Arabidopsis thaliana: one gene and its partner. The protein of the gene in region 1 binds, or shares a complex with, the protein of each later gene. Each region holds a gene or a part of one and is shown in the gene's direction. Other genes may lie near its edges.

Region 1 (3,754 bases):
CACCGGTGGCGAAAAAAGGTTCGTACTTAAAAAACCCTTAAATCACTAGTTTTACTATGATCTGCTTAATTATGATGTGTTAACTAAAGTTTTTGATGATTCAACTATAATGGTCTTAGGCCAATTAAGTGTTTTAATCAAAATCATTACTTTTTGAGATTTGTGTAGTTTAGTGAGTAATTTATTAATCATCAATTATCTATTTGATGATTAGTATGGTTGGTAAATTGTTGGATCTTTGTTTTGTGTTTTATGTGTGAAGTGGTATGCTTGTTCAAGATCCTACAAAAGAACCAAAACACGATGATGTTGATGAGATATTTAATCAAGCAAGACAGCTAGGAGCTGTGGAAGGACCTCTTGAGCATCCTTCGAGTTCTAGAAGCTTTACAGGAACAGGAAGATTGCTTTCTGGAGAAAGTGTGCCAACGGCTCTTCAACAGCCTGAGCCTGTGATTCACAATATTATTTTCTGGTCTAATGGATTCACTGTAGATGATGGACCTTTGAGGAAGTTGGATGATCCAGAGAATGCTTCTTTTCTTGATGTGAGTGTGAATTTTATTTTGGTTAATGCTTATGAATTGGCTTATGAATATTGTGTTGAACTGTCTTGTATTTTCGTGTATTGCAGAGCATTCGAAAGTCTGAATGTCCGAAAGAGCTTGAGCCTGTTGATAAAAGAGCTCCTGTACATGTTAATCTTATGAGAAGAGATGAGAAGTGCCCTGTAAGTTCCTATTGGGATACACTAACTTGTGCTTGATCCATCTTATGACTATGGTACCAACACTTATAACATCTTTGTTTCTTCTTCTTTTGTAGGAGAAAGAAAAGCTTAAGGTTTCATTTCAAGGAGTTGGAAGGACTCTAGGTGGTGCAAGCTCATCAACAGCTTCAAGCCAAAGTAACCTAACTGATGTAGCAGCGGTTCAATCACCGTTACAGAGCCTTGTAGTAGATGAAACTCTTCCATCCACATCGATCCAGCTTAGACTCGCGGATGGGACACGCATGGTAGCAAAGTTCAACAACCATCACACGGTTAACGACATTCGTGGTTTCATTGAGTTTTCTCGACCAGGGAATCCAAACAACTATACCCTTCAGGTCATGGGGTTCCCACCAAAGCCACTTACTGACCCTTCTCAGACCATTGAACAAGCCGGTCTAGCAAGTTCTGTAGTCATTCAGAAATTCTAGAAAAGTTTCGTTTCTCTTTTTTTGTACTAGAGAGAGATTTCAACAACTTGGAATTGTACTGAAAATATTCAATCGGCTTATTGTTGTGGCAAGAGAAATAAAAACATCATATGGTTTCTATCTTGTTTCGTTTCAATGTGTTTACTTTCATACTTGTTACCTATATGAGAGTGAAAAGTTTGAGTTCTAACATTACTTCAAATTTCACATGAACAATTATTTGATTTTCTTTGTTTTATTAAAGTTCAATCTAAACAATTAGTGTATGACAGTTTGGTAATATCAAAATATCATTGAACTTTTGATTAAATATTCATGTTATTGCTGTGCCAAACTGGCTATTTTGGACGTACGTATATCCATGATTAATTTAGTTTCATTCACTAATGTTTTGATTAGTTTCATCAAATACCAAAACTAGTGATTATTGTATCAAACAATTAGTAATTTTCATTAGCCGAAAGATTAAACACGCGTGCTACCATTCTAGATTTAAATATAAACATTGATCTTGCCAGTAAATGGCTCAAATACATGATAACATAAATAAAAAAAAAACTTGAATAACCATGAAAATTATTGTACTGTTTCACCTATAAACTTTTACTTTTACTTGCTCAAAATATTCAATCAAAGTTCAAAACGACAGTAAAAATTTGAAATTCGAGCCACTTTTTTTTCCCATTTTACGGTAAATGTGGCAGGAAAAAGTAACAATATTTCCAAAATTGTTATAAGAGAAATAAAATAAAAGCAAAGGGCAAAAAAATGAATTGGGCTTTGTGAACAGTAAAACTCCCAAATTTGCAAATGACTCATCTTCTTCACCTGGAGAGAATCTAGGGTTCCAGATTTACTCTTCGTCTTCCTCTCTTCGCTTCTTCCCCACTGGGATTTTCCTTTTCTTCTCCTTTTTTCTCTACCCATCGATCTACACATCCTGATCTTCTTAGAAGCCCCAATCCTTATACATTCCGGGAACAAAAAACCTAGCTTTTTTTTTATTCCGGCTTAACCAGTTTTCGAAAAACCCTAGCTTCCATGGCGAAAACTCGACCTGGTGTCGCCTCCAAAATTAAGACGGGAAGGAAGGAGCTGGACTCTTATACCATCAAGGGCACCAACAAAGTTGTGAGAGGTAGTGCTTATATTATCATTTGTTATCGTCACTTGTCAAATTTAGACATTTCTCTGCATGATTTTGGGCATTTGAGTGTTGAGTAATGGTTTATAAAGGAAGGGATTGCTTGAAAGCTTGGTTATGGAGTCAATGTCTGCTTAGGTCTTTTAGATTCACTCTTGTTTTTGGTCTTTTTGTTCTGGTGTTGTGTAGCTAGCTGCTAAGGGTATGTCACTGCTCCGTAGGGTGTTCTAGTGTATGAAATGGCACAAAATGTGATATTTGGTAGCTCTCTTGTTGTTAGAACTGAGATTTCTTGCAGTGAATTGTTTTGATTTGGGCTTTTTAGTGTAAATTTCCTTGCTTTTTTGGTTTCTATAAATGAAGTTTGTGTTTGGCTGGTTGGTTAAATGTGAAACATGAATTCATTGTATCTCTATCATCTGCATTGTAGCTTGTTATGCTTGTTGACGCAAAATGTGTGCTTTCACATGTTAAGTGTCTGCGTATACCTAGAATTCTGGGTTTTTCCTTCTGGTGAATAGGTGCATAAGAGTTATGGTCTAGGCATTTTTCGTTGAAGGGAGTGATCTTTAAAAGCTTGAACACTGTTTTTTAAAATTTGCAACCCATACTTTTGTTCATTTAAAGCTTATACCTTTTTTAGATGTTAGAATTTTAGTGTTGGGCATTTATATCACTTTACTAATGTGCATGATAAGCTCTGAACTAATCTTTGAGGTTATTTTCTGCAGCGGGAGATTGTGTGTTGATGCGCCCATCAGATGCTGGTAAACCACCATATGTGGCCCGTGTTGAGAAGATTGAAGCTGATGCGAGGAACAATGTGAAGGTGCACTGTCGATGGTATTACCGCCCTGAGGAGTCACTTGGTGGTAGGAGACAATTTCATGGAGCCAAAGAGCTTTTCTTGTCTGACCATTTTGATGTTCAAAGTGCACACACCATTGAGGGAAAATGCATTGTTCACACCTTCAAAAACTACACGAGGCTTGAAAACGTTGGGGCAGAGGATTATTATTGTAGATTCGAGTACAAGGCTGCTACTGGCGCATTTACCCCTGATCGAGTTGCTGTGTAAGTAGATAAATAGTAATCAGATCAGAACTACGCCTTCTTATTACCTGGAATTTCCATGATTTTTTATCTGTTGTGGGTTGTTGTTGGTTCTGAAGGTACTGCAAATGTGAAATGCCTTACAATCCAGACGATCTCATGGTGCAGTGTGAAGGCTGCAAAGACTGGTAAATGTTGATATTTGTCTTTTTTATTAACTTCCTTACTTGTGTTTCAACAGAAAAGAGACTATATGTCTGTTTTTAAACTTACGTATTCTTTTCCAGGAATTATTGATAATAAGCATTAATTCGCTGTTGTAGGTATCATCCTGCGTGTGTTGGCATGACGATT
Region 2 (3,321 bases), on another chromosome or scaffold:
AGAAGTTGGCTTTTTGGGGAATTGAATTCCAATTGTAGGACTAGGAAACGATTTATCTTGTAGTCTGATTTTGGAGTTTGCATGGATGGTTGGGAAGATTTTGTATATCTTGTTGTTTAGCTGCATTGATTCTCATTCAAGTCTATTTTGATGGAAAGTGGTTGCAAATTGTAGAACTAGGAACCCTTCACTCTTGGAATTTGCTTTCAGAATTTGCATGGATGGTTGGGAAGATTCTCATATATTGTTGTTAGCTGCATTGATTTCACTTATGTGGTTCTTCACTACTGTATTACTGTCTGAATTGTTGTTTTGGTTTAGGAAGCTGATCTATATATGGGGCATTCAATAGAAATTTGACCTTTCGATGTGTTTGTAACAAGAGACTTGTTGGTATGTGTAGGTGGATAAGCGACAGTCGTGATGAGTACACTAAGGAAAGACTTGAGGCTATTGACGACGAGTTCAAGCTTTACCGTTGCCATACAATCTTGAATTGTGCTCGTGCCTGTCCAAAGGGTTTGAACCCAGGAAAACAGATTACTCACATCAAGCAACTTCAGCGTTGAAACAGCTAAGTTTGTGTGCGGGATCCGTTGGGAAACTCATCAGTCTTAACGTTTGAAGCTAATAATCTTCACAAAACCTCTTCGGATTTTCAATTCATTCTTGTATTGTTGTTGCCAAATATTAGCGCCTTAAAAAAACTCGTTTGCAAGTCTTCCCAAGTAGATGAGCTTTGTGGTTGTATCTTGCTGAAAATCTCCTCTTTAAGTAATAAAACTCGAGTAAACTTAAACCTCATCTACTTATCATCTACTCTTTTGTGTTCCCTCTGCATTGGCCTATGATAAAATCATTTCATGTACTTGTGTCTCTGCCTTCTGTACACATGAACACAACGTGATGTATTATCAATCATAGCTTAATCATAGAAAAGTATCAATCATAACTTCCTTGACATTTATGATTGACTGCGTAAGTATAACTGCAAGTACTGATCACACAACAAACAAGAAAGATGACACCGGCAACACTAGCTATATTCTTTGTCTCTTTGGTTACTATTGGAACAGCAACCGATGTTGCTCCAGCAACTAAACAACAGTTTGAGTTCTTTCCGAGCTTGCGGGAGCATCAGAAGTCTCTATTTGTTACTGTGGAAGGTACCATAGCTTCGAATACTAGTTCTAGAAAGTAAAAACAACGATAATGTTTTTTAACTGTGGAAGGTACCATTGCTTTTTGTTGTTGTTCTTCACGTGCAGGCTGCAACAACCATTGCCTAACAGCTTGCTGTGACTGCAACATAGAAAAACAGCCTCCCGTTTGTGTTCAGTGTTGCCCGATTTGAGCCTTGAACTCCTTATGTTCATGTATGTTTGAAGACTAGAGACAATGTAGAAGATTTAAAACACAATTCAGGATGTCAAACTTGTGAAACAGAGGAAGCTTATGTGATATTTTATAAGTAAAAAAAACAGATATCACAAATAGAGAGAGATCAGAGTTTGTATTGTAAAAGCCTACAAATTTTCGCAATCTGTTGATGGAATAAATTCATTGAACAGATCGTAATATCAAAGATGAAAACACTTCTGTCTCACTCAGAGTCTTTGGATCACAAACACCGTTACACATCGCAATAATTAACACGTCATCATAAATATCCCACGTGTAGAATCCTCGACAACTGAAAGAATCACTCTGATTGGTTACTTAACATACGACGCAGATAGCAAAGATAAAAACAATCTTGACCGTTTAGAGGAAAACACATCTAACGGACCAAATTCTCTCTTCTTTGAGTATAAAAAAGCATCCCAACCTCACTCTGTATATACCAATCAAACACGACAGTCTCAACAATCAAAAGCTTCAAATTTTTCATTGTCAAGAATTCTCAAAATGGCTAGAACAAAGCAAACAGCTAGAAAATCCACCGGAGGAAAAGCTCCTAGAAAGCAACTGGCGACGAAAGCAGCAAGGAAATCAGCTCCAGCCACCGGAGGAGTGAAGAAGCCACACAGATTCCGTCCAGGAACAGTAGCGTTACGTGAAATCAGAAAGTATCAAAAAAGCACAGAGCTTTTGATCCGTAAGCTTCCTTTCCAGAGATTGGTTCGTGAGATAGCTCAAGATTTCAAGACGGATCTTAGGTTTCAGAGTAGTGCAGTCGCAGCTCTTCAAGAAGCAGCTGAAGCTTATTTGGTTGGATTGTTTGAAGATACTAATCTTTGTGCTATTCATGCTAAGAGGGTTACGATTATGCCTAAGGATATTCAACTTGCGAGGAGGATTAGAGGTGAGAGGGCTTAAGATTTGAAGAAGATGAAGAAGAAAAACAATGGTCTAGTGTAGATTTGCTTGTTTGCTCTCATAAGATTTGTAGATTCATGTTTTAGATTTGGTTTTGAGTTTTCTTAGTCTTTTGTTCTGAAGTGTCTTCCAGATGTTCGATGAAATGCCCAAATGAAAATTTAATCTACTTTTGCAACTTTCTAAGAATCAGTCTTCAGTTTAACTTATTAGATTTGCAATTGAAGTTGTCATTTTGGTTGTAACTTATTTGTATATTGTTACATCTGTATTCAGGTCTTAGTGACTTGTGTCAAAATGGTTCTAATTTATTGACCAAAGCAGGGTTAATCATTTTATTTTCCTGCAGCATAATCTTCTCTCTGTTATCAAAGTCCTCTTTCAGTGGTGAGAATTATGTGTTATTTTATCGATTAATTCATCACAATAAGTTTAAGAAATTACCAATGTACTGTTGGTCAGTGGTAAATTTTTTAGGTGGAGGTGCTGAGTTCGAGGTGGAAGGTATCTCTTTTCCAAAAGAGTTGAATTTAACCTGATGTAGAGAAGATATATGATTTTTAGATTTGAACTTTCAGATATTAAAAAAAAAAAAGGTTTAAGAAATTGAATCAAAGTTTTTTTAAATTGTGAGTACTAAGTATAAACAATAATGTAACCTCAAATTCTAAATTCATATATGTTCTGTTTTTTTTTTCTTTTCTGTAATGGCAAAGATAAAGAAGTCTTCAATTATTTAAGACCTGCACGTTATCTATAACAACAACTCATTGACTTAACCCACAAACTACTCTTGTTGTTGGATGTTACGTTTTGACTCCATTAAAGCTCTTCTTGGCTTATATATCATTCAAGCTAACTTCCAAATTCGAAAAATCTCTCTCTCTCTTTCATTCTTTCTTTAATATTCGACGGTTGAGATGAGACGACAAGGTCGGCAACATGGTCTTGTCAGAACTTACCGGATTCTTCCACCACCGCTTAACACAAGACCGGTCAACT

Evidence for each region.
Region 2: the proteins of EBS (region 1) and AT3G27360 are in contact, whole or in part, in a crystal structure (PDB 5Z8L), measured with the Arabidopsis thaliana proteins. Residues at the interface, in NP_001320030.1 of Arabidopsis thaliana: Arg40, Pro41, Ser42, Tyr49, Trp70, Tyr71, Tyr72, Glu76, His95, Phe96, Asp97, Gln99, His102, Thr103, Ile104, Glu105, Ala135, Ala136; in NP_189372.1 of Arabidopsis thaliana: Lys24 (codon at 1,978), Ala25 (codon at 1,981), Ala26 (codon at 1,984), Arg27 (codon at 1,987), Lys28 (codon at 1,990), Ser29 (codon at 1,993), Ala30 (codon at 1,996), Pro31 (codon at 1,999).

Annotation. Positions count from the first base shown.
Region 1 is NC_003075.7:11,728,721-11,732,474, reverse strand, and holds the start of EBS (PHD finger family protein / bromo-adjacent homology (BAH) domain-containing protein), read left to right. Parts: upstream 1-1,965; 5' UTR 1,966-2,244; coding exon 2,245-2,341; intron 2,342-3,078; coding exon 3,079-3,421; intron 3,422-3,519; coding exon 3,520-3,588; intron 3,589-3,723; coding exon 3,724-3,754. Other genes in the region: PUX3 (UBA/UBX domain protein), read left to right, coding at 1-18, 263-548, 635-730, 826-1,203. UniProt on the Arabidopsis thaliana protein: Chromatin remodeling factor that binds to methylated histone (e.g. H3K4me2/3) to prevent their acetylation (e.g. H3K9K14Ac), likely by recruiting histone deacetylase (HDAC) complexes, and thus regulating the transcription of target genes.
Region 2 is NC_003074.8:10,128,457-10,131,777, reverse strand, and holds AT3G27360 (Histone superfamily protein), read left to right. Parts: upstream 1-1,840; 5' UTR 1,841-1,908; coding exon 1,909-2,319; 3' UTR 2,320-2,673; downstream 2,674-3,321. Other genes in the region: SDH2-1 (succinate dehydrogenase 2-1), read left to right, coding at 404-569; AT3G27355 (Hop-interacting protein), read left to right, coding at 3,240-3,321. UniProt on the Arabidopsis thaliana protein: Core component of nucleosome. Nucleosomes wrap and compact DNA into chromatin, limiting DNA accessibility to the cellular machineries which require DNA as a template.